Drosophila melanogaster: one gene and its partner. The protein of the gene in region 1 interacts with the protein of each later gene in a pairwise test. Each region holds a gene or a part of one and is shown on either strand. Other genes may lie near its edges. The genes, in order: fest and CG13373.

Region 1 (17,871 bases):
CAGGTCTTACATAACCAAATGAGGTTTCCAAATTTTGCTAGCGACTCATTAGACAGGCCGAATTCACTGATTGAATTTCGTGCGGATCAAAGCCGCCTGAAGCGGAAACTTATGCTAGTCGCATTGCCATCTAGCCAGCTAGCTAGCTGCAATGCAATTAAAACTTTATCCGACCCACCAATCCTACAAGCCAACGATGTCCCTAGTGTGAACTTTGTTTACGCATTAGCTTTTGGGCCATAGATTGCCTCGGTGCCGCACATCCACAATCCACATCTGCATTTCACCCTTTCACCCGCTTTTTGCTTTTATTTCTTTTTTTTTTTTTTTTTTTGCTTTTTGAGGCACTTGGGACCTGGGGCATTAATTACTTTGGCCGCTGAAACGAGGACAAATGCAAATTCGATTTGCAGATACAAAATGCAAATAGGTCCCTGTGACCAAGCGTGATGATTGGTGGCATCGGGAAAGTGGGTATCATTAATCAGTTGAGCATATGTTTGTAATGTGGATCTCCTATTGCCACTACCATTGCAGCGTAACTCGAGCAAGGTGATGTCCTTCCGACGCGACTGCCAGGACAAGCCGTTGGTAAGTGAAACCACAAATATTTGTATCTCTGTTTTAATCTATTTGTTATATTTAAAAGTTCTTTAAATTAAAGTGACATTGAATAGTGATTTAAAAAACGATTGCAGTTTCATTTGAATATTACATTTATGCTCCACTTAAAGCCACATTTATTGGTTTCTTTCTCCTGCAGATGCTGTATGGCAATAAGCCAGATGAAACGTTTCGCACTTATTTCACATCCTGCCAACAGGACCGCTGCAATGGACACGATGGTCGGGTTAGGAACTCGACAAATGGAAGTGGGGGCAGCGGTATACACAACGCTATTATTCCTGGAAAAAGTCCTGGTCAAATCGCATTCCTTAGCCCCTGGATACATATTGTTTTGATTATCGTGGCACTTTGCCAGTTTCCATAGTGAATAGAAAGCTTTCAATACCTTACCAAAATGTCTTTAAAAAAAGTAGCAAGATATCGGGTAAATGCACTTTTTCAAAATATTTTCAAACTTGCAACATATGATTGCAGTTGCTTGTCCCATTGGAAAAACCCACTTCCAAAAGCATGAGTTTAACAAGGGTCCGCTTTATCCTACTATAACATCTAACTGCCCCAATTAAAGTTGCTTTTTTTTGTGATAAACTCAGATACCTTTCAACTAAGTAGGGTCTGCCGATAACCAATTACAAGGCCATTAAACGAGGCCACACCAACTAATTGCTGCGGTTCGAGGCCAATTGCAGGCGTTGACAAAGTTTTGCGTGACTGCGATCCAGGATGCAGGATACCACAACGGTAATTGCAGCGACCGCCAAGCTTTTAGGCCAACATCATTGGATCAAAGGTCGCCTTTGAGTTCCGGCATGTCCACGCGCTCAAGAACGACTATGAATTCCAGCTAATGACACTAAATGGCGACGCTAATGGCGTCTTTCTAATGGATTCGCTGACATCTTTACGTGTTGATAGTTGAAAACTCAAGTGCGATTGGCAAAATTCTAATGTAAATTCGTTTGAAGGCTGGGCCGCCAAAAATGCAGGCCAGTTAGCCTCGCGAATCGAATATAATTTTTGGATAAGCAATCAGTTCGACTGATTGTTTGTTTGCCTTGCCTCATTTGTGTTGCAACGAATAAATCTGAAAGCTTTCCTGAGTCCTTGACTTCTTGGGTACACATTTCTGAATTTGTGTTTGCCGAGCTTCACGCATTAAAGTACCCATGTGTAAAACGCCCGCCCGTTTTCAGTTTCCAGTTAACAGTTTCGTTTGACACGCTTTTGGCGCTGGCTAAAAGCAAACAACAAACAAACAAACAAACAGCTGCGACAACAACAAGCACAACGGCCAAGTTTACCCGCCCCCACTGACAAGTGCGAAGTGGGTGGTTCCGCCCCTTTCGCATTTCCGGTTTAACTCCCTTCCGGCCAGACAGCAAAAAATCGAAACTCAATCCCGAAGTGGACATGTGCTCTGCAAAATTGAATGACACGCCGGTTTCCTACACATTTTTTTTCTCCCACGAACAAGCCATCACTAAAATAATTCAATTTGAATTTTAATATGTTTTAATTTTGGATGGAGTGGTGACCATACCTTGCCATACATATAGATGTATCGTTAATATTAAAAACCGTCAAAGATAATAAAAGTTTTTAATAACAAAAAATTGAGTAAATTAAATTTTAAATTTAAAATTTCTTTCCATAGAAATAAAATACACAAGAAGAAGTTGGCACCTTTAAAAGGTACATGAGTTAAACACAACATATAGTATTTATTTAAACTTGCGCTTGTATTTCTTAAAACATGAAAGATAAAACAACTTTCTTCATTAAAAGAAGGCAAGTTGCAGGTCGCAAAATGTGGAACGTTCCCTAATTAAAACGTTTTTGGTCTCATCAAGTTATACAAACAATTATTTGTAATTTTTCGTAAATTAAGAGGGCGGCAGGAATGCAAACATCAAAGTGGAATGGGGCTACTTAAGAGATGCCACCATTTCGGAGCAGGAAGTAATTTTTACTCGACAAATATTGACTTGATCCCAATAAGAAGACAGCGCTGAGAAATAACTTGAAAGCATTCCGCCTCCATCGAGCTGAGGTGATCCGATCCCAGTGAGGTGTGGGTGGCGCAAATGGCCGATGGAGGATGAAGATGTGCACTTGGCGGTGGCCACCGCAACGGACCGTAAACAACGGAGACACACGAAAATGGGCAGCGGTTGTGGTTCATTTTTTTCCCCATTCGTATTCGCAGTTATCCGGCCCCCACAGAGAGCTACGGGAATTTTACCTCACAGGCTGCACTGCGAGAAATTAGCTATCGCAATGTGAAATTTCTGAATTAAGTTAAGAAACAAAATGGTCAATTCATTTGTATATATTGTCAAGTAAACTAATAATAAATAATATTATTATCGCAATAGAAAGGACATCTTCCATTAAAATTAAAAATTGACTGCATAAAAAAATTAAGATCAAGATGAAAGGAACACTTGTTATAAATATTTATTGCTCCGACTGCATCAGAAGCCATTCAAATAAAACAAAGAACATAATTATAGGCAGAAAATAAAAATCACTTTCACTTCGTTTATTTGTTTCGCTTCGTGTAAACTGCAAAAAGGTGTGCTCGCTGCAGAAATTGTAAATTCACTCGCCACGAAATGAGGACGCCACGGAATGTTGACAGTTCTCGGGAGGATGGCCATAGTGATGGGTTCTTGCTGCGACGCGATGGAAATGGTAATGCCAATGGGAATGGGAATGGGAATGGTTCCACATTTCTGAGTCAGCGGGTTGTCTGCGCTAGATGTTCAGCTTTTGGGGCTGGGGAATTGCAAATAGTTCAGTCCGATTGTGATTATTCGACGCTCGGTCTGGTTATGGCCAATTGGCAGTCAACAATGGCTGGGTGTCCCGATGATTCCATCAGTACCAACCAGTGCGTTGAACCCGTCCGTCTGGACGGCGTGTCTGGGCGATTCTTTTGCCGCTCCGGGAATTGGAAATAAAATAATGGCACAAAGCGAGCGAAATGCGTGCCCCGGAAACTATGGAACCCATTCTCTCTCTGCTCTGCAATTGCCAATGCATTTGTAATTGTCTCTGGGTGCGGATACCTTGTCCGATCCGGGGTATATTGTTCTATTAAACGGACAGTTTATTCCACTCGAATGCGAGTCATACATATACATATATCCGCTTCTATAGACACGGCTCATCAAATAAAGCTCTGAGGATGTGTTATAAAATTATACAATTCATTTTGACAAAATTCCCCAAATTAATATGCACCAAAAACAACAGAAAAAAAATATAATATATATGAAGGCGGAACAGGCAGAAGTGAAAGCCACTTGATTTATACCTTCTCGGGATTCTTGAAGCAAGGTGGACCCCAAAAAGAAAAGAAAACAGAAGAAAGTAGAACAGTTTCGGGAAAGTGGGCGTGGCACCTGCCAAGAGGCACGTCCGCGTTTCCCTGGCTCTTTGCACAATTCTTATGTATAAATTTGTACAGTGGCTTTCGATGTGGGTTACCAATGAATAAAATATGAGGAATATTCTAGGGGCTGTGCCAAGTTCGTGCGGTTTTCTTTGATAAATGAAAATTTAAGTAAAGTAATTAAAATTAAATAAATAAAGTTGCGGTTGCTGGCGGTGCGGTTTTATGACTCTTTACTAAATGACATGAATTGAATTTTAAACTTACCAATGGCCTTAAAAGTGGAAACTATCTTTTCCTATAAACGTTATTCATTTAAACATCCCACTTAAGTTTTAATGACTATATTTTATCGACAAAAGCCGACTTTGCTGCCTACTACTTGACAAAATCCAATTAAATTGATAAAAACTAATTAAAGTGTGTTGCAAAAATCACGTGCATGGCTTATGTATTTCCCATAACTTGTTGACATAATATTTCTTAAAAAGTAGAAATAAAAAAATTAAAATTTTGATGTGTGAAGGATGTTCAAAACAAAAAAAAAGAATGGATTGCCATGCCTGAGCCAACTTATCTTGTGCATTCGTTGGCGAGGCTCTTTGTAAATTTTGTAAAAATAATTGCTTCGCTCACCGATCTTTACAGAAATGATTATTGATGAACACTTTGGCCTATTTTATCAAAATCAAAGCAGACGCGACAACGTCACATTTGCCCATCAATGAAGCGTGAAATTCAGACCGACAACGCGGGCAAAGCGCCAGCACACATTAAATCTTGCAAAAGTTTAACCCAAGCCAAAAAAAAAAAAAATGGGGAAAAAACCGCCTGGCACACCTTTTCGATGAACTATAAGACCATAGACCATAGACCATAGACACGAGCGTATGAGATGGGTGGATTTTTTGGCAAGTGCCGAAGAGCCGATGACGTCAAACGGCGGCAGTTGGCCGTTGGCAGTCGGCAGACTTTTGGCTCAGACCACCAATTGACCAACCTTTCAATCTGTTTTCATATAATTTTTTATTTTTTTGTTTTTTTGGGCACGCGTAGGTGGTGGCTTCTTCGTCTCCAGGAAATCCCTGTGAATCACCTTGCAGGGGGCCGAGGTGGGGGCACGGGACTTAAGGGGATTGTGTAAACAGAAAAGTCACCAAGGAATTCGACGCGGCCAGAATAATGCCGGGAATGCCAAAATATTGATGGAAGTCAAGCCGAGAGGCTTTTAGCGTCGCGTGCCTGTCGGTTGAGATCCGTAAATGTATGTGCATCGGATTCGGAATATCTGTATATATATATATATATATATATATATATATATATATAGTGGGTGAGTGTAATTCCATAGCTGACAGCGGGGCGGCATTATCATCTAGAGGCGACAACAAAGATCTCCCGCTGAATGACCAGACACATTTATTTGTTTACACAGCTCGGTTGCCGTTGCCTCATCTTGACAATCAATTAATTTCCATCCCGTCCCATCCCAACCGATTCCAACCCAGTCCATTCAATTCCCGAGCACCTCCTGCCCCCCAGTAGAAACTGAAGGGGCTGGTATTGTCGACAAAGGCAAGTGGCGTCGTTGGCGCTAATTGTTTTTAATGAAAATTGCTAAGGATTTAATAAGGAAGAAGGCGCTGAACAAATGGATTTTAAAAGCCATTTCAATTATGCCATAAGTTTCTCATCAATCTGAGTGGTCACCACTACCACTGGCACTGCCACTCACGCGAACGGTGACGTCAAAGATTGCAACACTGGCCAAGTCGGAGTCCTATGCACTTTCTATATATAGCCGCTACACTAGTATGGATTTTATGATCTTTGTCTGCGCCAAAGTTCACTGACTGCAGAAGGCGAAAATAGTTTTCCACATTTTAACGAGCTTCGGCAAGTAATAGCGAATTTTCTCTATTCATTTGGCTGATGTTCTCCTTTTAGTTTTCATATCAAATGTGCCTTTGCCTTTACAAAACGAGCGTAATTACAACTTGAATTCAAAATTTAGCAAACTATTCCAACGACGCTCGCTGAAAATCTGAATTTTCAGCTGTCTGAATATTTGCGAATATTTTTAACGATAAATACTGAAAAAGGAGGTTAACCAATTTGTTTCACTTGCGGCTGGCGAAAGTGACAACGGAAAAATCACTTCGGTGGACGGGGTGATTTTTACAAATGAGTTTCCGTATTTCATTGAATGCATATGCGATTGCATTCCTGCTATAAATATATTACACATTTTCACTTTCAGTTGGTGTTGCTCAAAACTGAGTCAATGCGATGCGTGGGCGGAATTGCAGCTGCAGTGGCTGAATTTTAATGATCCGACCAAGTGCCAAAAATAAAATTTAAAAAATATGCCAGCCAAGTGTCTAAATAAACGCGTCCATTTAAATAGATATGATGGCGAAAGTGTCAATCTAAATCTGCGTGGGCCGATGGCCAAATGCAAGGAGTCAATGCGCTCATTAAACAAACTAATCCGCGCAAGAAAAAACTGAAATCAAGAGGCAAAATCAATCATGAGAGCGGAAAGAGTTGACAGTCGTATACAAAAAACACAATAGTTCCGGAAGTTCAGGGACTTTGCACACTGAAGGTGAGTTAGTGAACCCACAAAAATGGAAATAAAACGACCTTGGGGGTTTGCCAAAATTGTGGCTAATATGTCAACATTCAGGCAAATAAAATGGCTAATAACTGACAAGAAAAACGATTGAGCAGCTATTACTAAAATATATTATGATTTTAGTGTTTATTCATTAAGAAATAATCCAAAAATTTGTAGCTGTTCGACTGGAAAGTTCTATAAGAGCAGTTTACATTTCGCAGAAACTTTAAATGCCAGTTCTTATTTAATATGTCAATTTAAAAGTTTCAGTTGAATGTATAATACATTTAAATTGCGTGATTGTTTGACTTTGACAACATATTTAAGCCACGTTAAAGCAACAATTTAGAAGGGGATAGCTTTTTATTAGCAAAGTACTAAACTGTGCTACGTGCAAACATCACTTTTATCTGACTCTTGACATTTCCTGCCAACGCTTCAAAACTTTGCAACTCTGCGCACTTGTTCAGCATTTAACCAGCATCGATAAGAATGACGGCACTTTCTCTTGCACTTTCTCCCGTTCGGAAAATGCAGTTTCCCAATAAATCTTAAAGCCTAAGTCTTTTGCTGCAGCTTATAGCTGCGTAGAAACTATACAAATGAGCGGCAATAAATTGCTGGAAGCTGCACTGCTGTGCGTGTGTTCAAGTCTATTTCTCGATTCAATTACGAAGGCGAAACTTCGTTTTCCGGCCACTAAAAGCGAGGAGATGGGTTGCACTACAGTGTCGTCCTTAAATGCGTTATTTTGAATTCAATCAGCTTTTTGCCGTCTAAAAGTATGCAGCACTAATCGGATATACGTTGAACTTTCACGGGAAATCTAAAAGTGCCAGGGCTTCAAAGGGACGAAGGGAAAAGTAAAGTATCGTGTACTCGATATTACGACACTTTCAACTATCGAAAAACCCGGTAGGCCAGTGAGTGTCAGAATTGATGGCACATCCTTCCATCGGCACTTGAGGCAAGTCATTCTTTCGAAAATTGTCGCAGCGAGCAGTGCTCTTGAAAAGTCATAAAAAGTAAAAAATTAAATTCCTCTCATTGAGTCGTTGTGTTCCGTGTCGAGCAGAGTACTTTGATTTTCGCTGTCCAGCACGCCGCGTGTGCCGTTCTCGTTTAGATCCACATACCAAAGTCCAGGCCCCGTTTCAACCAAGAACAACAACACCATCATCCATCACCCATTCGATTCCATACGGTTTTCCCATAAATTTTGAACAATCGAATCTTGACAAAATGGTTACCGACGCCCAGGACACCGTTGCACCTAAGACCAGCAGCACCAAGGAGGTGCAGTGCCAGCACTCCGGCGCCCTGGATGAGCCCCATGTCGAGGAGCTGGCTCTACCGGGCCCCGCCCCCTTGGCCACGCCCAAGAGCGGCCGCGTTGGCATCTTCAATGCCGAGGACTTCTTGTCCCGCGCCCAGTTGAACGACAAGATCAATAACATCTTGCGCTCGCCCACCAAGGCTCCAAATGGTGTGCGCCAGCGTTCCGTATTCACCAACAACAACCCATCGCCGGTGAGTAGAGTTGTCACTTCTCCATAGGATTGCCTTCATTTTGAAGGCATATGCAAAAAATCGTCTCTTTGATTTTTGCAAGTCATTTTTGCAAGTCATATTTTCTTAGCATTTTTTGCAAGTCATCTTTTCTTCCCATTTTTTGCAAGTGATCTTTGATGTACCATGTGATACCTTTTCCCTTACCAATCCCTAGCAAGCCACCATGCGCTTTGTGTCATCGATGAACAGCCCATTGGCTCCACGTATGAGCAGCCTTTCGCTGACTGGCGGAGTGAAGCGCGGCTTGGAGCGCGGCAACAGCAGCAGCAGCATGGGCAACAGCGCCAGCGTGGGCACCAGCACCTCCGTCCTGGCCAAGGAGTGCTCCAGCCAGACAAACAGCTGCGGCCGCAGCTACATGAATATGGGCATGCACGCATCTTCCCACTCGGGCTTCGGAGTCCTGCCGCAATCTGGTGCCGGCTACGAGACCATGGGCTGGAACATGGATGCCGGCAATATTACGCGCAGCGGCAAGAGTCTAACGGGACGCTTCAACTCTGGCTATGGCTATGAGGTGGATGGAGCCTACTGCATGGTAAGTGCTTTGATTTATTGCCCCGTGTTTCGTATTTTAGAAATATGCGATATCTACCTAGCCACAGGCACATCACACCCAGCAGTTCCCATCGCCAATGCCACCACCACCTTTTGCTATGGATCGCGTCAGCTCGCGCACTTTTGAGTTCGAGAACAACACACCACCACCGTGTCCAGGATCTGGACCGATTGCCATGTCCAATGGCACCATCCAGTTGCGCCTGCGCGAGGGCGTTCGGTAAGTGAACGTGGTAGGAGATTTATCCCTTGATCATCATTCCAAATCATTCCCGATTCCAGCATTGACATGACCCTGGACAAGGCTGTCCGTGTGCTGAATCAGCGCAGCATGGTTGCCGCCGCCTTATCGCGCAACTGCAGCAACTCTGCCCTCATCCATCCCAATGGGCGCATCTTGCAGAGCGGCTCCAAGGTGGAGATCGTCACCTACGACGGAATGAAGGCCAACAACTTTGTGTAAGCTTAGAAGTAGAATCGAACCTTTACTTTAAGAGTGGCAAACAACTAGTATTTTGGAATTTAAACTTGTACTTCTCATTAGATTTTCGTATAAAATCTATGCAACTATAGCTGCAATCATTTTCTTCCAGTCGCTATGCCAAAATGTGGTACAAGGGCGTTAGCTTCACCAGCGAGTCCTGTGCCCTCATCTATCTGGTGGACACAGCTGGCACTCGCACCACCACCGATACCTTCACCGACCTGACCAAGGACTACACCTTGGCGGTGTTCTATGAGTGAGTTAAGCACGAAATTTGCCCAAATCAATTCGCCAAGCTCCTCTTTCCAATTAACAACACCCTCCAGCGATTCGCGCCACGGCCCATCCTTTGTGTCCGATGCCCACGACGTAATCGCCAACTCCACCTACAATTGCGCCGAGGACGGCACCGAGGTGTATGACATCAATGGATTCCGCATCACCCAGGCGGCCGACGGCCTGGTCAAGGTCAGCCGCCAGCACAGCAAGTGCCTGATTCGCACCAGTCCGGGCAATGGATCCGCCACCCTGACCACCACCGGCATCCACTGCACGGCTTCGTTGGGCAAGACCTCGCACCTGTTCGTCCGGTGAGTTGGCCACTGCATCCACACCTATTTGCAATAATGATGCACTCGAAGAATGCATTGTTCTCGTCGTATATTTATTCGATTATAACACTGATAGTGTTTAATTGATTCCATACTTTTGCAGTAATTCAGTTAATCGGATATTTGAAGATTCCTTTTGTTCTTTTTTTTTTTGCAGTCGTAATGAGAAGCGCATGCACTTCGACGGATCCTGTTTCATTGTACGCAATGCTGGTCACTCGGCTGGATTCAATGAAAACAACCTGCTCATTGTCTACTAAGTACCGCTCGCACCATGGGATGTGCATCGCGTTGGGTGGCCATCCAAATGCCACCTATAGCCACCCAGCGTGGGCAATCGAAAATCACCCCATTATACCACCACCACACACACATCACAGAAAACACACACACGCAAACCGACTCAAGCGTCGATATAGTGACCCCCCCAAAAAAAAAAATCAAAAAATCCAAACAAAACAACATTGGAAAACTGGGGCCTCGGCGTGGAGAGGGATCAGATCATTTAAGAAAACCTGGTCTTCTAAACAAAAAAAATTATAAATGTATAACTGCATTTAAGATGAAACAGCTCGAAAAAATGCGCGAGCAACGAAAACTGGCGATCCTGATCCTTGAAGGATTGCTTTTCGATTGCTCGACGTAGGCGCAACGCAAACACTAGGGAATTAGTTTTAGATAATCACACTTACAATCTCTCTAGCCCTCGATATCCTTGTTTTTATACGCATACCGTTATTTAGTACAGGCAATTCAGGTGGAATAGGCTCTGGAAAATCCACCTGTTGCCTGAAACGCTGGCCAAGACAATGCTATTTCGATCAGGGCCAGCGTTTGGTGTTATAAAAAGAATGAACTTGGTTCGCGTTTCGCTTCTTTTCGGCCCTCACAGTATAGCAAAATTAAGTTTCCAACGATTTTTTAAACGTTCGACACGTACTTGAAATGCAACAAATTCAGCAAGATTGAAAATCGAAAGTTGCAAAATTTCCACAAAAAAAAAAAAATAAGCAAAAATTGATAAAATCGCTGATATCAAAATTAGCCTCTGCATGATAAAAAATTAGCTAACAAACGACGGCTGCTTTGGCCAACGTAACACCAGTGACAATTCAGTTAGTTCTAAGTTACCAGTTAAGATTAGTTAAGTTACTACAATCCAACCATGTTCATCCTCACACAACACACACACACTCTACAGCGCAAACGTTGCGTAAAATGTAAAATGAGTGGACTTAGTGCTTAAATTTCCAAGTGTAGACGGAATAGTACCACTACCACACTCGTGGAATACAGATACACGCACACATGCACAAGCACACACACACACACACACACACGACAGGCCAAAGTGAGAAATTGTGACTGAAATGGAATACAATTAATTAGCTTACGAAACAAACGCTTATCTGAAAAAGGCAGTCGTCTTTGAAAACAAAGTTAAAACACGTGCACACTTTTAAACACCATTCCTTAAAAAAAAAAAAGTGAAACGCCTTGCAATTATACCTGTGTAGCCTTACAACAACAATCTTCAAAACTCTAAATTTAATCCTCATGTATATCGAAATTTATGTGCACAAAAATCGATGTCAAAAAGTAATACATGAAAGTCCTGAATAAAGTAAATTCTATCTGCGCTACTGTAATAGATTCGTATAATTTTGTTAATTCTCATGGGTTAAATCTGGATCGAGATACAATTTTCAGCGGCTCCTGGCAACCATATATGACCTCATACCTTTCCTCTGGCATTGTAAAAGTACAAGAAAATTGCTTAACGACTACAATTCACATTACAACCCTGTTGGAGGAGTTGTGGCACCTGAAGGGCCATCAGGACTTGAAATCTTTTCGGGCTTAAAGAGTTTGCGAGCTATGTAAATATTTAAAGGAATGAATTGCACGTTTAAAAGTAATTGAATGTTTGCCAAAAAAGGTTTTCATATACAAATATTATAAAAGATGAGAGGTCTTCATGTTTACCTGCAAACAAATCCAAAAGCACAACGATATGGGATCGGCAGTCATGCAGACCAAGCTCTCCAACAGACTTAACCTGGAGTTGGAGCCGGAGGAGCGGCCCGTTGGCAGTGGCTGTTGATAGAGATTAGTGGATAATGCTGGGGCGGAACTATATGCCACGGCTGACTCTGTCATAGGAAGAAAGTGGTTCCATGGTTAGCGGGTACACAGAGAGAAATGGCGGGTGAGCGTAAGCGAGGCGGTGAGCATGGGCAGGTGCGGAAGCCACAAGGCAAGGATACTCAAGCGGCGGTGATGGTGAGTGTCTCCAGCTCAGGCGGATACAAACATCTAAAAATGCGTTTACTCTAGTGCTGCGTATTAAATAAAGTCGCTAACCGAACCCAGCAACCCGAACCCGGCTGAATCCTGAATCCGAGGTTATGTGGCTCAGCAGCTAGGGAGCCATAAAGGGCGAGACCCACACACACACATATGGCATATTCAATGCTCACGCTTGCGTGACTTGGTCGGAAAAATCCGTTGGATGGGAACGGGGGGCGTATACGGTGCCATTTGCCTCTCGCACCCGTGCTCAACATCAAACGCTTTTCACACTTAATTGGGCGTAAAATTAAATCAGAATTGATTAAAACACTTGAATGACAGCAGCAGTCGAAGCCAGAGCTCCGGTGCTATATGGTCCCGAATTTGAGAACCCGGCCAAAAAGTCTAAGCATAAACAAACTTTTTGGTTCCCATTTTTCCAGCTGACGCATGGCACGTAGCATCTCATCTGACCGAGTTTTCCACCCAAAACCCCAAACTCAAGCCCAAGCCACCCCCACCCCACTCCTCACCACCCATCGACATCCTCTCAAAAAGGACTAATTGCTGCCTAGAAACTCCTCTCTTCTTCCGCCTTTTGCCTTTAGAAAGTTTATCAAATTCAATTTCCGACAAAAGTTGGAATGGGCTGGATAGGCAAGACATCAATTTTTATATTTTACCATTTAATGGGCTCTTCAATTATGCGAGTCTCGCTCCACCGGTATTACGTTCACATTAATACAAATTCAATGAGGCTTAATTCCTGGCCATAAATCGTCGCATGGATTCGTTTCACCTGTCTTCTTCTGTGGTCATGCAGCAAATCAATTCGATTTCCGTCGAAATGAAAGAGCCATCGCATTGCAACACTGCAACTGCCGACGATAATTGCATTTTAACCGATTTACCCAGGAAAATCCCAAAACTGAACAGACGGCAGACAGTAAAGGATACACCCATTCGTACTGCGTGAAAATTCAGCTTCGTTTAATTTAATGGGAAACGAATGGCCCACGGGGGGTAAATGAAAAATTATGAATATTTACCCCTGCGGATAAGAGGCTTAAATTCAACCGGCAAGATAAACGCAAAATACATACGAATTTGAGTAACTCCATCTGTCATGGTGAGCACTTCATCCGAATCTCTATGTTCGGATGCGTAAGCCTGAGGTGACAGCAATCAAATCAATCAGACCAGCCACCTGAGCTGAGCGGGAGTTCAAAGTGAGTGGTCCCCAATGGATGTTTTCTCCTTGGCGGAGCTGTTAGCCCCCAAAAACCCATAAACGCAACATGGCATTGGCGAAAGGGTGATTGTGAACGACATGTTTCAAGTATATATCGTATATCAATGACAAAAATGCTGCTTGCCAATATCATGACACAATTCATAAATTATTCATGAATAGAATTCATTCGAAGGTAGATTGGGGCACTCTAAAACGTCTGCTTCATCAGAAGTAATTAAACTAATTAAGAAAGTAGCGAAATTCATAGCAAGCCTACGTTAAGTACAGTTAATCCCTTTTTTCTTTTCTTTTCTATTAAAGAGTTAGGAATATAGATTAAAATTGTAAAATTCTTACGAATTCGATTACCCGTGTGTAAATATTTTCTAACTGTGCGGCAATAACAATTGAAATGTAACAACAGGCGAGCGTCAACATTATTATAATGGCGTTTAATTAAGCCGCTGAGTAAATCCCCTCTCAACACTCTAATTTGAATTGGCAGGCCGGAAAGTCAAACAAAAGCCCCCGCCGAAGGCCAAATATTTCGGCCTAATCCACTTGGCCCGGTCCGAAATAAGGGCTTTATAAATTGGCAAAAGAATGGAACGGTGATGATGGCCGATGTTCTCCAATAACGAAAGTTTCGGCCAGCTGAAATGCAGGCATGGTAAATTTTCCAATATTTTCACATTGCAATCTGTGGTCTTACGTGTCTATTTTTTTTTTTGGTTTTGGCCAGAAATGATCTGATTTTGGCCATGGCAAATTTGGCACATGCTACCTATCATCAGCATCGTCGTCATTTGATTTTGGGTGAAAAAGGTTCGCGGTATAATATGGTGGCTATATTTGCAAGGACAAGGCAATTCTAATTAACCCGCTGCCTTTGCCAGAATTGCAATGCGTGAAATCGCTTTAAATGCAAACCCTAAATCTCATTAAAATTCCTCAGCATGTTGTCGTTGCCATCCAGCTCAAGTGTCTCCCATTTTCTTGCCGGGTTTTGTCTGAGATTCTGCAGCAGATTCCGTCTGCGACTTTACCATTTTCCCAACCACATTCAACAGCCAATGGCAGTTATTTTCAACGACGGTTTAATTAAGTCTAATGGTAAAATGTTGTTACGCAATTATGTCGGTGTCGTTGTTTTCGGAAATGTCCTTTAAATTCGGGTCCACTCACGTGCTGACCCTGTTCCATTCGACCCTGGGTAAACCAATTTGCGGCCCACATAGGGTGAAGTAAGTGGAAATCGAATTACCAATAACGAGACTGCCACAATAATTTCAGTTAACACCTGACCGAAACGCCAGTTGATAATGGAGCCTACTGTCATATCCTTTTACCAATGCTCCAGCGAATTTCATAAATGTAAAGCTCGACCATTTTTAGACTTCATTAAAATGGGTATTTGCATTTGACAATAAGTTTGAATGTACATATTTCTAATACCAAACCAATTTAAATATTAATATTATCACACATCATATATATAACAATTCAAGCTTGCGGTGCACTTTTGGGGAATTATGCGGTGTCAGGTGTAACATACAAAATACTTCGGCAATGGCGGCTTCAGTCTAGCTTTTGTTACCTCCCCCAGATATGGCTAAGGATTCTCTGCGGCATATCTGCGGTTGAGCCATTGAGTACTTACATGATGGGCGAGGCCATTGATGTGGCTACCGTCTGCTGCAGATCCTTTTACCGAAGATCCTGTTGATGCAGCGGCTCTTTGGCCCGCTTCACTTGACTTTAGGGCAGCGAGCGCGGAGTTAGGCGAAGATTCTTGGCAATAGCTGCTGCACCTGCCACCGGCGCCTCTCTCCGCGATGTGGGCGTGGGCGTGGCCGTGGGCGTTGCTGTGGGTGCTGGCAAGGGGCAGGGGAGAGGCCGGCGGGGTGGGTTGTTGTGGAAGAGAGGGGCCCGTTCTGTTGCGTAAACGGGCCAAAGCACTCCGTAGACCCTCCGTATTGTCTTTGTCGGGCCCCCGTCCAAGCGAAATGCATCCGCAGATCAGTCCACCAGCCGCCTACAATTCAGTGCCAGCTCCTAGTTGCACCTCTGCTCCACGCCCTGATTGGTCCTTGGCCAATCAATTAGATTGCACTTTAATCTGAGGACTTTAGGCGCCTTGCTGCACAGTTTGCAATTGCAAGCCGCAAGGTTTACAAGTTTCGAAGTTGTCGTCGCTCCGAGGAAATTACTAAATCTTATTTGTAGTTGAATTGTGTAGTGTGTGGTCGAGATATATTGTTTTTTAAATCGAATTTAAACGCTGCGATAGCGCGGCTTGTAAACTGAAGTCCAAAGATACTGCAAGTATACAAAACAAAATATATTTTATATTAAAAGTGGTTTCAGTTCAAATTTGTATGACCCTTTAAAGCGAAGCATGTTTGCAAGAGAGACCAATTAAAACTGTATGATCCGAGTTGCTGCTAAAAAAAAAAAATATTAGAAAAAAATCCCAGCTATTCAACTGTACGAAGTCGTGCTCCTTTTTTCGCAGGAGTCATGTTTTCCGGAATGCCCCCAATTTACACTGCAGTAGAAACTTGCCTCGGGCCACTTTTACTTGGGGTAACAAAAGACCGTCGAGACTGGTTGATGATGCGCCCGAGGTGGGAAAAGTGAAACATAATTTCCGACACACAATTAAAAGCCAGGTCCTTTGGGCCCCCGACGGAATTTCATATTCATATTCCGTCCACAGGCGACGGAGCCCACTTGTATGTTTTTGGCCCTGTTGCTGGCTTTGCCATTTTGCCATTTTGCTATTTTGCCATTTTTGTTGTGCATGCGAGATTCCAAGAATCCAAGGCTGCTAGGGTGGGCATGTGTCACCGGGAAAAGTGAAAAACAGCTTTGGCGGGTCAACAGCAGGAGCGATGAAAAGCCGAAGCGAAGTCGGAATGCCCTTGGTTTAGTTCATAACGAAAGCAAAGAGTTAAAATGATGTTTGGCTCTAATTCCATAGCCATGATCTAAAATTCGTTCAAATCAGCCATAAATAATATTCTGCAAATTGGAAGTTTTCTTCAAACATGGAAATGCACACGAGCAGCAAAAGCCGAATTATGGCACATGTACTGTGCTATTGGGCATTCACACAATTGAGTGATTTCAGTGGAAAATCGAAAGCCGTGAATTGGAATATGAGTTTCCTCTTGCTCGGCCACATACGAAAATTCTGAATACACAATCCTTTCATCCAGCGGCACAGATTTTTCCGGGAAAAATGCTGGAACATTTAACATGCTAGATAGATAAAGTTAGGTTTTGCCTAATACCCTTAATTTTATATGTGTTTTTGGGACTGGCAGACAATAAATTTCGTTTCGTAAGGACAACCGTTAGTCATTCAAAACAAATGTAAATTTACCGAAACAATAAACGAGAATTGCGCACCGGGGACTTTGCGGTTGCTCTGCAGACATCATTGAAGCCTTTAAGACCAACGGCTTATTGCAAAGTCCTTGAACTACAATTTGGCTGGCACAGTTAAGAGGTCGGCCACGCCCCCCTGTCCGCCCCACGGGTAAACAGGTGTACGGGTATGCAAATGTCCCAAGTCATTAAAATGTTGCCTCAGATAATAGTGATTTATGGCGGGTGCAAAACGAGAAACATCAGCAGAGCAATTCCTATGACAGACTCGAGATTCAGGACACTCGTGACTGAAGACTCCAGGATGTGCACGGAAATGCGATGGAAGACCAAACGAATGTTTTGGTCAACAGGAGGGCCAATAAACAGGACCATAAAGGCAGCGCTTTTTTGACTTTCGAGGGGCAGGGTCCAATGAACAAGGGAAAAACCATTGTAAACGAAATCATTTTCTGGGTAATACAAGAAACTTTTTTGCAATCTCATCGTTTTGGTTGTGCGCCTGTATGGGTGATGAGTGTGTGCCTTTGGGCTCGCTTCGAAAGCAATTTAGTCGCCAGTGGCAGCCAGCAATTATTTTCTCATATTACGTATACGCAACGCGTGCCCAATGCGCTGTTAGCAGATTTATTCTTCCATTATGAGGCAAACAATTTTCTATTACACTGCTGACTTTTGTTATTAAAAGCGAAAGAAAGAAGCGGCCAACGGAAATAACGCAAAAGTCAAAGCTGACACAAATTCTTCTCCCCTGCATTATTTACATAATTTTTATCACAAAAAAAAAATTATATAAATACAAAAACGCTGGCATGAATTGACAACGAAATTCTCATTAAAAACAGGGGGACTAGGCGGAAAATTAACTTTGCACTCGCTACAGGCGACTGACTACCAAGTGGTCATCGAAAAAATGTCCCAAAATGAGTAAGTGAATATAAATAGAGTAGACATTTGCATTTCCATTGAGTTTGTGCCTGGCGGGAATGTCTTTGTACTATTATTGCTACTTCAGTGATATTGGGCATGTGTGTGTACATTCACTACGTAATTGGTTTCCAACGTTCACACATCATCACTCAT
Region 2 (14,959 bases), on another chromosome or scaffold:
GAGGACAATGGAAAGCAGAGGCAGCCGAAACTCATAGATGAAAACTTTCGACGTATCTGTAAGATATACATTGGTCACTCGGTGGGTGCTTTTCGTGTTTATAAGTATTGAACAAACCAAACAACAATATTGCTATATTTTTAGTTGAACTATCGCGATGCTAATGCGACACGCTTGCTGAATGTGGCGCTCACCCATCGTCAACGTTTGCATTTGGATCCGGATGAGATAGAGTTCGTGCTAAGCAGCTATTGGAGGCAATTGAATACAGACATTGAGGTGGGCGACACATTTTCCAGTTCAGCACTGGATTGTCTGGAGCCGGCCATTAAGCTGATCATTGGCTATAAGACTAACGAGGATTTCCTACTGCTCCTGCACCGTCTTTCCTCACAAGTGGAGCAAATGGCACGCCCTGCGTCGCAAACGGAGCACACGGCGCTCCAGAATGTGCTAACCCTTTTGGCTCTCTTTGCCAAATGCTCGTTGAGCAGCGTGAAGGGAGCGGTGAGTCTTCTCCAGCACCTTGTCCTCGTTCCATAGTTAATAATGTTCTCTTTAGATGCTTAATGAGCATTTCGAGGTGATCAGTGTGAGTGTTGCACTGCGTCTACCGGAACCCAAAGACTTGGCATATTCTGGTCATGCCCTTCGACTCCTGGAGGCCCAGCGCAATCTGGCTGGGAATCGTACGGTCCCTCTCACAGGAGAGTCCCTGGATTGCCTTCTTAGCAGCATGTTGGATATAGACATCAAGCACTTGATCAGCCACGGCGGCAGTTGGCAACAATTTGTGGATCTGTATAGTGCACTCACAGACAACCTGATTGTGCTGTTAAAACAACACAGTAACCTGATGTCAGACCGAGCAGCCCAGCTCAGTGTCCTTTGCCAGGATCTCATCCAGGCCGTCGTTGGCTATCGGGCGGAAAGAAAGCAGACACAGGACATAAGTGAAACGGAGCTGGATGGTTTGGCGGACTTGGGTCTGAAACTGGCTACTGTAATGGCCACAGTGCGCGCCACGCAGGCACTGGCCGTGAAGAGAGTCGCACCCTTCCTGCTTATCTTCACCATTCGCCAAATGGTAGCAACCGAAAGGCCCACGACGCTGTTCGAAAAGGTGTGTTTTACGTTAAGGGAACGCCATTGGCCAAGTCGAAGTCAAAATTCAAGTTTCGCAGCATTCCGAAGAATAGATCAACGATTTTTGTTTCGTGTTAAGAAGTATATGGTTCTATATTCTTTAAGGAGTAATAATTGCCATTTTTTTATTCTATGCGTCCACGTAGTATATATATTTTTATAGTGGGCTTACTTTGACTAATAATACGATTTTCCCCAGATCAAGGTCCACATAGTGCGCGTGTGCCATGAACTGATCGGTATTTGCGATCACCGTGCCGGACACTTCATCCTACGCTCCAGCAATGAGGCCGGCGCCAGGATGTACGAAGGATTGGTGAAGGATCACGAGAAGTACCACAAATTTAGGGGCAAGGTGTAGGTAGAGACAAGGAACGAGTACACCTGTAAATTTTTTTTTATATTTATATGAAATACCAACTCTTTAAATATAGAAATATAAAAATGATTGAGTTGTCCAAAATTTGTACTGCTTCAGAACTTAAAATTTAACAAGCACTGTGACCTTGCTGAGTGCTTGTTTGTGTGAAGCCGAACATCTGGCAGTACTCGCACAGCGCTAACGAAGAATAGATCAAAGATTTTTGCCTAATGTTAAATACTATATAGCTCTATATTCTTTAAAACGTAATACATTTGACATTTGCTTGATTGTTTGATGCCCTAGCTGAGGAACATCTGGCAGTGCTCGCACAGCGGATCCTCCTCTTCTTCAATTCGATTACCACTGGAAATAAGATGATGGTCGATTGATTTTTAAACTAACGGGTTTCCCTAGGGGGATGCTTCTTCCTTCTGGGACTTAACTCACAATAAAGTCACGCAGTTGCGGCAAATAAACTTGGCGCACTCGCCGCAGGAGTAGCCACACTCCTCGCAGAGATCCATCACGCAGTTGACGCATATGTCGTGGATGAGTGTTGGGAGCTGGCAGCAGCGCGATTTCAGGGGCGGATTCGACAAGTCGATGGAATGGTTGCGCAGAATGATGGAACCATCGCCCAGCAGATAGTACTGCTCGCATAGGGCGGGCTCCTCCTGGCCTGGCCCCAATGGATTCAGGGTATTCTGGCCCTGACCTTGCCCATTGCCGGTTTCGCCATCGAAAAGCATTTTGATTGTCTTCTCTGCAAAATAAATAGCAAAACGGAGATTTCCAGTTCAGGGTTAGACACCTCAAGGACGCCGCTCTTCCATCAGCTTCGATGGAACGTGACATATAACAGCAAAAAAAAAAGAATATTTACTTGATTTGTTTGAGGTCAGCGAGAAGTGCAATCAGAACCCTTAAAATTTCCAAATTGCAATGACAGTAAAATAGTGAGACCGATCGCGGGAAACAAGCTGACTTGACCCCATTCAAAATGCCAAAATCAGTAAATCACAAAATCGATTAATTTGCCAATCGATTCTTACTTGCAATTGCGAATTTCTGAACACTGTAGCAGTTTATTGCCAATCTCTTCGTGGGGTTATCCCCGTAAATTTGTGGTCGCTGCTTTGCTCCATTTTTTGTTCTCGTGTTTAACGGTTTAAACTGAACTCATCTTTGCATTGAGCAACAACAAGCCCGACATAACTGCACTCTGAGCGGCGCTTCCTCTCCGATCTACCACCCGCTCCATTACAGGAAGTAGGAGTAGGTGAGTTGGTGCAAGTGGGACAATGCTTTACATACCAAGGACCCTCTTCATCTTTCGTGGTCCGCGGGGGTCGCCCATTTCTGTTCAAGATTGTCTGCCCATGGTTCTCAGCTCTGAGCTGCTCCAGGATGCCCTGCGGTCCAGCAACAAGCTTCTATTCGAATGCTATGGCAGCCTGATCAGATGCTATCAGGAGTGCGTTGAACTTCGCAAGGATAACAAGGATCGGACTAAGAGCCAAGACTACTGGGATGCAGAGTTTGTAGGTTCTGTGATCAAGCAGCTGGCAGAGATGGTTCGCCGCTCTCAGGAGCCTGAAAAGCTGTTAGAAGAGAACAATTCGAAAACTGTTCGTCCTCTTGTCACTCGGTGGGTGCTTTTCGTGTTTATAAGTATTGAACAAACCAAACAACAATGTTGCTATATTTTTAGTTGAACTATCGCGATGCTAATGCGACACGCTTGCTGAATGTGGCGCTCACCCATCGTCAACGTTTGCATTTGGATCCGGATGAGATAGAGTTCGTGCTAAGCAGCTATTGGAGGCAATTGAATACAGACATTGAGGTGGGCGACACATTTGCCAGTTCAGCACTGGATTGTCTGGAGCCGGCCATTAAGCTGATCCTTGGCTATAAGACTAACGAGGATTTCCTACTGCTCCTGCGCCGTCTCTCCTCACAAGTGGAGTAAGTGGCACGCCCTGCGTCGCAAACGCAGCACATGGCGCTCCAAAATGTGCTAACCCTTTTGGCTCTCTTTGCCAAATGCTCGTTGAGCAGCGTGAAGGGAGCGGTGAGTCTTCCCCAGTACCTTATTCTCGTTCCATAATGTTCTCTTTAGATGCTTAATGACCATTTCAACCGGAACCCAAAGACTTGGCATATTCTGGTCATGCCCTATGACTCCTAGAGGCCCAGCGCAATCTGGCTGGGAATCGTACGGTCCCTCTCACAGGAGAGTCCCTGGATTGCCTTTTTGGCAGCATGTTGGATGTAGACATCAAGCACTTGATCAGCCACGGCGGCAGTTGGCAGCACAGACAACCTGATTGTAACAGCACAACACAGTAACCTGATGTCACCCCGATCAGCCTAGCTCAGTGTCCTGTGGCAGGATCTAATCCAGGCCATCATTAGCTATCGCGCGGAAAGAAAGCTGACACAGGACATAAGTGAAACGGAGGTGGATGGTTTGGCGGACTTGGGTCTGAAACTGGCCACTGTAATGGCCACAGTGCGCGCCACGCAGGCACTGGCCGTGAAAAGTCGCACCCTTCCTGCTTATCTTCACCATTCGCCAAATGGTAGCAACCGAAAGGCCCACGACGCTGTTCGAAAAGGTGTGTTTTACGTTAAGGAAACGCCATTGGCCAACTCAAGGTCATGATTTAAGTTTTCTAGCATTCCAAAGAATAGATCAAAGATTTTTGCTTAATGTTAAATACTATATAGCTCTATATTCTTTAAAACGTAATACATTTGACATTTGCTTGATTGTTTGATGCCCTAGCTGAGGAACATCTGGCAGTGCTCGCACAGCGGAGCCTCCTCTTCTTCAATTCGATTACCACTGGAAATAAGATGATGGTCGATTGATTTTTAAACTAACGGGTTTCCCTAGGGGGATGCTTCTTCCTTCTGGGACTTAACTCACAATAAAGTCACGCAGTTGCGGCAAATAAACTTGGCGCACTCGCCGCAGGAGTAGCCACACTCCTCGCAGAGATCCATCACGCAGTTGACGCATATGTCGTGGATGAGTGTTGGGAGCTGGCAGCAGCGCGATTTCAGGGGCGGATTCGACAAGTCGATGGAATGGTTGCGCAGAATGATGGAACCATCGCCCAGCAGATAGTACTGCTCGCATAGGGCGGGCTCCTCCTGGCCTGGCCCCAATGGATTCAGGGTATTCTGGCCCTGACCGTGCCCATTGCCGGTTGCGCCATCGAAAAGCATTTTGATTGTCTTCTCTGCAAAATAAATAGCAAAACGGAGATTTCCAGTTCAGGGTTAGACACCTCAAGGACGCCGCTCTTCCATCAGCTTCGATGGAACGTGACATATAACAGCAAAAAAAAAAGAATATTTACTTGATTTGTTTGAGGTCAGCGAGAAGTGCAATCAGAACCCTTAAAATTTCCAAATTGCAATGACAGTAAAATAGTGAGACCGATCGCGGGAAACAAGCTGACTTGACCCTATTCAAAATGCCAAAATCAGTAAATCACAAAATCGATTAGTTTCCAATCGATTCTTACTTGCAATTGCGAATTTCTGAACACTGTAGCAGTTTATTGCCAATCTCTTCGTGGGGTTATCCTCGTAAATTTGTGGTCGCTGCTTTGCTCCATTTTTTGTTCTCGTGTTTAACGGTTTAAACTGAACTCATCTTTGCATTGAGCAACAACAAGCCCGACATAACTGCACTCTGAGCGGCGCTGTCTCTCCGATCTCCCACCCGCTCCATTACAGGAAGGAGAGTAGGTGAGTTGGTGCAAGTGGGACAATGCTTTCCATACCAAGGACCCTCTTCATCTTTCGTGGTCTGCGGGGGTCGGCCATTTCTGTTCAAGATTGTCTGCCCATGGTCTCAGCTCTGAGCTACTCCAGGATGCCCTGCGGTCCAGCACCAAGCTTCTATTCGAATGCTTGGCGCGTTGAATTTCGCAAGGATAATAAGGATCGGACTAAGATTCGACGCTCTCAGGGGCCTGAAAAGCTGTAAGAAGAGTACAATTCGCAAACTGTTCGTCCTTTTGTGGGGCTGCATCTGACCTTAAAAACTCCATGCCTAGACGAACTAGGGATAGATGAATGCTTCCGACATATCTGATCATTGTCTTTAAGACTAACGAGGATTTCCTACTGCTCCTGCGCCGTCTTTCCTCACAAGAGGAGCAAATGGCACGCCCTGCGTCGCAAACGCAGCACACGGCGCTCCAGAATGTGCTAACTCTTTTGGCTCTTTGCCAAATGCTCGTTGAGCAGCGTGAAGGGAGCGGTGAGTCTTCCCCAGTACCTTATTCTCCTTCCCTAGTTAATAATGTTCTCTTTAGATCCTTAATGACCATTTCAACCGGAACCCAAAGACTTGGCATATTCTGGTCATGCCCTATGACTCCTAGAGGCCCAGCGCAATCTGGCCGGGAATCGTACGGTCCCTCTCACAGGAGAGTCCCTGGATTGCCTTCTTGGCAGCATGTTGGATGTAGACATCAAGTACTTGATCAGCCACGGCGGCAGTTGGCAGCTATTTGTGGATCTGTATAATGCACTCACAGACAACCTGATTGTGCTGTTAAAAGAACACAGTAACCTGATGTCAGACCGAGCAGCCCAGCCCAGTCTCCTGTGCCAGGATCTCATCCAGGCTATCGGCCGGAAAGAAAGCAGTTACAGGACATAAGTGAAACGGAGCTGGTTGGTAATACATTTGACATTGTGTCGTCCCAAATTTGTACTGCTTCAGAACTTAAAATTTAACAAGCACCGCGACTTTATAAGTGCTGGATTGTGTAAAGCCTTAGCTGAAGAACATCTGGCAGTGCTCGCACAGGGGATCCTTCTCTTCTTCAACTCGATTACCACTGGAAATAAGATGATGGTCGATTGATTTTCAAATAAAAGGTGTTCCCAAGGGGGATGCTTCTTTTAAGGACTTAACTCACAATAAAGTCACGCAGCTGCGGCAAATGAACCTGGAGCACTCGCCGCAGGAGTAGCCACACTCCTCGCAGAGATCCATCACGCAGTTGACGCATATGTCGTGGATGAGCGTTTGGCGCTGGCAGCAGCGCGATTTCACTCTCTCCAGGCGCGGATTGGACAAGTCGGTGCGAAGGTTGCGCAGAACGATGGAACCATCGCCAAGCAGATAGTACTGCTCGCATAGGGCGGGCTCCTCCTGGCCTTGTACCAATGGCTTCAGGGCATTCTGGCCCTGACCCTGCCTATTGCCGGCTGCGCCATCGAAAAGCATTTTGATTGTCTTCTCTGCGAAAGAAATAGAAAATCGGAGAGTTCCAGTTGAGTTAGACACTTAAAGGAGGGTTAGACACTCAGCTTCGATGGGACGTGCAAAAGAACAGCAAGAAAAAAATTAAAAAAAAAAATTTATGCGTAAATTCATCGTAAATTAGAGGTCGCTGCTTTGCTCAATTTTTTGTTCTCGCGTCTAACTGTTCAAACTGAAGTGAGCAACAAGTCCGGGATAACTGCGCTCTGAGCGGCGCTATCTCTCCAATCTCCCACCCCTCCATTACAGGATCGAAACAAGATAAGTTGGTGCGAATAAGGCAATTTACATACCATGGACCTCCTTCATCTTCCGAGGATCACGGGAGTCGCACATTTTCTGGTTCACAAATACCTTCCGCTGCGTGAGATTGTTGTTGGCGTCGCCATCCGCTGATCGCGATCGTTTTGCCGCCTTTTTACGGACCTGGTTTTCCATGATGAGATACTGGCAGATTGTTGGGCAGATCGGATAGGAACGTCTTGAAATATCAATTGAAAATCCTTTACTTTCAGGTTTCCTAACTTGCAGGCTAACAGTTAATCAGTGTCCCGTTTTGCTAACAATATTGCCTTATTAGAATAGTGCTACCATATTAAAAAATACATACAAAAGCGCCGACTGCGATCAATTTTTTTATCGTCTATCGATCGAATTTGCGGTTAGGCGGAAAATTCAAAATGTTTCTGGTTATGAGCTGTTTGGAATAGTCCAGCATTTTTAATTTATCAGATTAAAATGACTGAAAATATAAAATTTATTACATTTGTATAATATATATATATATATATATATATATATATTTGTATAACTATGGATTTGAATTGGATGCTTGTCTGCTCGCTCGTAGTTTTAGCTGAAACATTTATATAGCCAATTTTATTTAAAAAAAATTTTGTTTTAGGTAATTAAAATAAGAAAGGTAGAATTTTTTTATTTCAAAATACCCATAACCAACAACTATCGATATTTATTGACTATCGGCCAGGGTTGCCAGCCGTGCGGAATTTGTTCACTTTCCCGGAGTAGATTTTGGCCACCTTTTGTGTAAAGACACAAAGAAAACCATGCAATTAATGGACGCCGACTGCTGATGCGATCGGAATTAGAACCGCGAGCAAGCGGAGCTCACAGTGACCGTAACATCCAGATCACAGATACTCGGAAGGATCGTAAAGGACACGGAAAATGGTGAGGCGGGGGGCTCCGGGCCAAACGCACTATTTTGCCAGTGATTCAGAGTGATTCCACCTAACCGGGAATTGGTTTCCACCCACCCACTGTCTGTGCAGCACGCCGCATCTTTGACGACGGTGGAGGGACTGCTGCAGGAGTTTTATCAGCCCAGCACCTCCAATGCCCGGAAACGAGAGATCGAGACAAACCTCTTGGCCTTCAAGTCCCAGCCAGAGGCGTGGCAACTTTGCCTCCGTGTGGCCACCTCTTCCGACACCACGGAGAATCAGTTCCTCTGGTTCTTCAGCACCTCAACCTTGGAGCACACAATCACGCGGAGATGGACACAGTTGACGTCCACGGACAAGACTTTGCTGCGGGAGACCCTTTGGAACTCGTATGCCCAACTGGTAGCCACTCCAAATGTGGCCAAACGGCACAGGGACACACTGGCCCAGTTGATAGCCCTACTCGGAAAGAGGGAGTTCCCTGAACAGGACCCCAATTACATGCAACACTGCATGGAACTGACAAAAACACGGTTTCAACTTGGCATCAACCTGCTTAAGATCACCTCCGAGGAGGTGGTAAGCAACAGGGGCGACCTGACCACCGAATGGAAGCAGTACTTCTACTCCTGGTGGGTAAATAGAGCGAAGAGGCTAAAATCGTATGTTTTTTAAAAAAGGTTTTGTAGTCCCATACTTTTAATGTCTGTTTAAGACTACTTGGATTTTTAACTGAGTACGGCGTATCAGATGGTCGATGTTTTCGAGCATAGCGTATTTTTATTATTAACTTTGGTGTTATTTGTTTAAATACACGATTGCGTCGCACAACATAGAATAACACAATCCCAGACCTTGTCAGTCCGTTCTTGTTTTTGGTTTATTAATAAGTGTTATATTGAGATTGAGTATGTATATGGCATAACAACTAAAGTCAGCTGACCTCTTAAAACTCAACTAATTGAACCGTTAACCCAGTTATCATATTATATTGCTTTGTTGAGAGAAAGCACTATAATTACTGGTCAGTTGCCACAGCACTGTTCCTAACCCATTTTGTGCTCCCTTTTGCCGTGTGTTTCTGTAGCATCTCCATGTGTGTACCCGATGTTCTGGACCTGGTAACCAAGTATCTGCTAATCGCTGTATGCCACATCAATGGCAAAGACATCCAAACAACCATACCAAACACCCTCATGGACTTTAGTCTAACCTCAGCGCTGCCAAATGACAATCAATTAAGGTGGGTCATCATAACATTCAAAAGAGCATATGTTCATTACAACATTTTGTTATAACATCTCTCTATATACTCCGCAGTTCCTCAATTTTGGACCTGCTAGGATGTGTGCAGCACTTGGTCTCCTGGATACGCACTGAACTGATCTCGGAGTACTTCCTTATGAGCATACTTGACCTTTCCCAGTGGCGACCAGCCCATGAGCCCATCTCCTTGGCGGCTCTCTCTGTGTTGAATGAGCTCCTCTACCTCCAGAAGCCACTGCCCTTCCCAGGACCCTTGATGGGCGGCGTTACCAGCCTCCTGGAGCAGCACAATAACAATCGGCGGCAGAGCGAGATGTACAGCGACAAGTTTCGGGAGCTGCTGCGCCTCTACACCACCAAGTATGCCGCCAAGCTGATGCAGGAGCCAGACCTGCTGGAGACCTTTCTCAATCTGCTATACAGCTGCACCACTGAATGTGAGTCGCGTGATAAAAATATTGCCTTTTGAGATGCTAACTTATTTTTTATTTTGAGATGATCTTTTTGCTGTGTAGTCATAAAACACTCGCAATATTAAATGGGTTATGTGCATCTCGTGATCGAGATTTCGAAATGTCGTTGACAAAGATATATAACAAAAGTTATTAATTTTGTATTCCCCAAACAGTACACGGCGCCTTGGACTTCACCGAAAAGCTTGAGATCTGGACACCCATCATCAAAGGCATTGCCCAGCACCCCGCCAAAATCACGCGTTATAACAATGTGCTTACCCAGCTAGTAGATGAGATTATGAGGCGCACTCAGTTTGAGGCCAACAAACCCGAGCTAGAAGTGCTGGACAACGAGCTCATGGAGGACGATGTAAGTAGCTCTGATTTAAAGTGTTTTTAGGTGACAAATTTCAAAAACCAAGAAATAGACCTTGCATTAGAACGATCTTCATTTTATCTAGACATTCATCCAATTTCAGACCTCCGCCACTGAGTGGCAGCAGTTTCTAGACCAATGCTTCGAGTCCCTGGCCCTACTGGCCAACACCAGAGGTGCACACATCGTTTTCGCACAGGTCTATAACCACTGGTCACGGCCACAGATGTATTTACTGTCCTTGGAGCACGCATTGGACCACGGAAGCGCTCGAAGCTACGAAGCGGCACGTAAACTGAAGGGCGCCAATGTGGGCGAGATTTTGCGCGACTTTGCCACCGTCTGCCAGGCGGTCGTGCGTTTGGCCCCATTGATGGACTCATCAACAGCAGCACCCGGGGTTGCTGATGAGATGGAGTGCCAGCTGCAGATGCTGTCCGACAGTTTGCTGCAGACTCTACAGCTCCTCGCAAGCAATCGTTTGTATAGCGGCGGCAGCGAAATGGACAAAGCTACTTTCCAGACTGATTTGGACAACCTGTAAGTGGGGCATCCCTTTGCATGATGTATGTGATACTATGCTTTCTTGATCCTTCAGATACGCTCAAGTTCTACTGGCCATGAGGAGCATCTTTCCGCTAACGAAAGCCATGAGCGGCGAGGAACTGCTGCACCGCCTGTTTGCTATCCTGGGCAGCATTTTCGCATGCAATGGATCCTTAACGGCTGCCTCCCCCATTGTGCAGCAGGCGGCAAGCGAGCTGCTGCTTTTCATATCGACTGTGATACGGCCCAAGTGCCTGCTGGATATACCACAAATCCAAAGCCTGCTGCAGGCAGGCTCTCGCTTGGGCGCCCAATTGCCGCGTCAGGTGTGCATCAATGTACACATCAGTCTGGTCAGCTACATGGTGCTGCCGTGGAAAAGCGTTCCGGAGCAGCAGCAGGAGTATCCGAGGCGTCTCTGGATGCTGCGTGAATATGTCCAGGGGCTGGCACAGAACTTTCTGGATCTGGACTTAGGCCAGGCCAACGAGAGCAAGGTGGCGGCCACCACGCTCAGTTTGCTGGGTACTTTCACTGCTCTCATTGAGTATTTTAAAGCTACTGGAGGCAATGCCAAGGATATGCTGGCAAGCACTTTCAAGGTGCCTTATTTTTTTAAGTAAATTTAAACATCCTATCCTAATCTATTAACGTTTTTTGTTTTCCAGCCTATTTTAACAAAGGCCCTAATGATTTTTAACAACTTTGGGCAAAGCAGCATCGCCATGGCCATCACGGTGGCCGAGTTTAGCCTGAGCATGCTCCGAACATTGCCCACCCATTTGGGGGCCCAGTTCATTAAGGAAATGATCACCTTGTTCATAAGTGTCAGCAGTAGGTGGGTCTCCCATCTCTTTCTTTACAGTGTGAGTGCTTACTAATGATGCCATCTCTTTCTGTCTCCAGGGAGCAACTGACTCTGAGCCGACTGGCTGTGATGGAAAAAATACTGCAGATGTTCAAGTTGATCGTGGAGCAGCCAGGGAGCGCCTCCTTGGGGCTGCTTCCCTCCATTTTAGATTTTAGCACTCAGCAGATTCTGCCCTTGTTGCAGCAGCAAAATGCGGCAACCGATAACAGCGAGATCACTAGCCTGTTGTACGCTTTGTTTGATAGGTGCGTGATGCTGCATAAATTAAAATAAATTGTACTTGTGTCTTGTGTCGTCATGAATTAACGCCCTTTCTCCATTTTAGTGTCCTCACCTGCAAGTGGCAGTTCTTCTACAAAAATCAGCTCTCCAATGGTCACAGCGGTGGTGGCTCCGGCAACTTCAACTGCAGCGACAACCTGCATCCAGCACACTTCATGGCCATCCTGAATGCGTATGGCCAGATGCTGGTCAGTGGGACTGATCCGAGCAATGTGCGCAGCGTTCTCTTCTCAATGCAAAATGTGAATGAGAGGAGTCGGTTGTACCAACGCGCCTTGTTCAAGGAGCAACTGCTGGCTTCATTTCAGCGGGCCTTGCTCAATCTGCTGTTGAGTGGAGAGGGCTCCCTCCACTTCGACATGATTGCCCAGGCGTTGTATGCTATGGGCCAGGTGGACCGACGCCAGTTGCTCGAGAGCTTCGTTCACGCCTCTTTGCCAGTGGCTCAGACGTCGCTGGAGGAGATCTGCCAGACAAATGTGAGTCAAATACTGAATATAAAGGGATCGACACCACTTGCAAGGCAAAAAAAGAAACTGTCTTCCATTTATGATTTAAGCATTCTGTTACAATCTTACTGTCCATGTCGACTTGTTTCAATTGTTTCAATCAATATAAACACAAAATTGCAAGTGGTGGTGACTCTTCCATGACTGACTTTGCGTTTAATAGGTACTACCTTTTATTGTTCAGGACATTCCAACGTTTACGCAGAAACTCACGCAGCTCATGCAGGACGCCCACTGCGTGCACCTCAATGAGACGGCGTAGGCCTTCCTTCCCTCAAGCGCGGGACTTTAACAGCTCCCCATCCTTGTTCCGTAAACCACGGCCGCATACGATTAGGTTCTTGCATGTATATAAAGTACTATATTGTTTTATTTTTGTAACTTTTAAATGTAATATGCTGTCGCATTTTGCATGCCATATTTCCCGATACTGTCTGTCATCTACTTCAGGTCCTTTGTCTTGTGGGCCGTGTCCCCAAAGCCCTATGTTCTAACACCATCCCACCAGATTGCGTTTGGTTCTTCCTTGTGCGATGTTGTATTTCTGTTTAGAAAGCTCAGCATTCGTCCCGATTGAAAAAGACATTAAATGTTAACTTAAAACAAGCTTCGTACATAGATTTAAGTGCATTATTATCTTTAGTTTTATGTCTACCACGTAACGAATATACGATTACTCTGCTTTCTGTGCTGTCACCGCAACTCGATAAAAGTCATACTACATATACATACCTACATATATCTTAGTAGCATATACATTTATATCCATAAATTAATTAGCATATCTCAACATGTAAATCAGTTACGTTGTAAGCAAGTATAAAGTATCAAGTAAGAAAATAGCTGGAAGGGCCGAAAAACCCAGGTACGAAATTATGTATGTAATTTATTTCGGGAAAACCTAACACCACCACCAACCAAAAGTAAATTCAAGGCGTTTAAAGTCCGTTGTAATGATTTGAACTATGTATGAATGTATGTATGTATGTATAATTGCTTAAGTCCTGCAATCAAAAGTCCAATAAAACTATTTTTACCATTTTATTCGCCAGTTGTTCGCAATTAGATATGTATTTGATTAGCATGACATTTATTAAAGTCTAGTTAGTATAATCAGTTATAAAACGATGGGTGGCACGTGGCTTTATAGGAGCAAATGCAAATTTTGCTCTCTTTTCATACTATGCATACATAGGTAGACATGTATGTATATAAAAGAGATCGAATTATGAAACAGTTATCTTTCATCTCTCTTTTGTTCCCTTTCCTTTTCCACTACATCAACTATCGACTGTTCGAGCTTTTAATCCCGTTACTTTGTTCTAAAGTTGCCTGAAATGTAACTTTATTTTGACTACACTCTGTGATTTCAGTTATTCCGGTCAATTTGGTGAGTGCAGTTTGATATTGGAGGCCTACATTCGGTTGGACTACGATTAGTGATAAAACGGCGAAATTAGTTAAAAACCATTGTTAGAGGTTTTCGTAGTGTGTTTTCGGTGTCGCTTACAGTTTTTGTAACTGTGGTTTCAATAAATGCTGTTAAATATCTGACGCAAATGTTCGGTGTAGCTTACGGTTACTTTTACATGTGATGTACATACATATGTACATATGTAAATAGCGGTCGTGTTATTTCATTGTATTAAATCAAGCAACAGAGGCAATTTATAAATAAATTAGAATCTCAGGTAAGCTATAGGCAACTTATTTTCAATAAATTGCTTATCATTTCAACATCCATAACCTTAATCATTGCAAACTATTACTAATAGGATTTCCTATAAACATAGACCTATGAGTATAACGTTAAATGTTATATGTTTAATTACTATGCCTTGCGCACGCGCTCAAATAATCAAAATGCCATAAAAATAAATGGTAATAAGAATCACTTATAAAAACAATCGGATAACGATGGAGGAGCTGGAGGATGTTGCGGACGAGGTCCACAAAAGAGACAGCTTCCTTTTCTTTGTCTGTGGCTTACATACTCTCTTGTTTACTCACTCGATATTTCCTTTTGCATACTTTTGCTCAGGTGTCGAGGACAAAAGCGCCGAAACCAAATTTAATAAAAAGCGAAAGCAAAACAAAGGAATATCATTAAAATGTCAGGAAGCGAGGCAAGAATCACCCACTTCCGCTCACCAGCAGGTAAATGCCGTAAAATACAGGTAGCCGAACAGCCAATGGCTGGTTTGCATATTCTAGATCCTGGCATCAAACGTACATCCGCAAGAAGTAGGGTTGGTGAAAGAGACAGTAGACACATTCACTTTTCATTCAAATGTGTCGCAAATTTCGCAAAAAATAGCTATTTTTAGAACTACGGAACTAAAAAGTTCGTTAAAAGAATTTTACGCTGTTGAGGTGTTTAAACGAACTGACGTCCAATGGAGGAACTCAAATAGTGTTATAAATGTTTTATTATTTAGTGCAAATAATGTTTCCTAATACTAGGATTCAATGTTTATGTTTTTAAAATGGAACCACGAAAGGATTTTAATTAATATACTATACCAAACGTAAAATCAAAGACAACCACGGACTTCGAAATGCAGTCATGTCTGCTTATACGGATCTACAATGACGCAGTGCAGGCATTGGTTCCAAAGGTATCACCGCAAGCGAGTACGTGACTTTGATTTGCTTTGCTAATTA

What was found.
Region 2: the proteins of fest (region 1) and CG13373 interact in a two-hybrid assay, tested with the Drosophila melanogaster proteins (2 studies listed by BioGRID).

The regions. Positions count from the first base shown.
Region 1 is NT_033778.4:19,334,198-19,352,068, forward strand, and holds fest (wurstfest), read left to right. Parts: upstream 1-7,611; 5' UTR 7,612-7,886; coding exon 7,887-8,174; intron 8,175-8,370; coding exon 8,371-8,754; intron 8,755-8,815; coding exon 8,816-8,994; intron 8,995-9,056; coding exon 9,057-9,233; intron 9,234-9,367; coding exon 9,368-9,514; intron 9,515-9,584; coding exon 9,585-9,848; intron 9,849-10,026; coding exon 10,027-10,129; 3' UTR 10,130-11,557; downstream 11,558-17,871. Other genes in the region: Rgk1 (Rad, Gem/Kir family member 1), read right to left, coding at 11,856-11,900; CG34045 (uncharacterized protein), read left to right, coding at 538-591, 764-991.
Region 2 is NC_004354.4:469,432-484,390, reverse strand, and holds CG13373 (uncharacterized protein), read right to left. Parts: upstream 7,408-14,959; 5' UTR 7,245-7,407; coding exon 7,100-7,244; exon of another isoform or gene 6,785-7,099; coding exon 6,460-6,784; exon of another isoform or gene 6,379-6,459; coding exon 6,315-6,378; 3' UTR 6,200-6,314; downstream 1-6,199. Other genes in the region: CG18273 (uncharacterized protein), read left to right, coding at 1-81, 145-507, 563-1,123, 1,346-1,507; CG3176 (uncharacterized protein), read right to left, coding at 1,810-1,873, 1,958-2,259; CG32817 (uncharacterized protein), read right to left, coding at 4,298-4,361, 4,446-4,747; ebo (ellipsoid body open), read left to right, coding at 7,995-7,997, 8,099-8,622, 9,078-9,233, 9,311-9,693, 9,885-10,081, 10,191-10,627, 10,686-11,235, 11,302-11,471 and 3 more.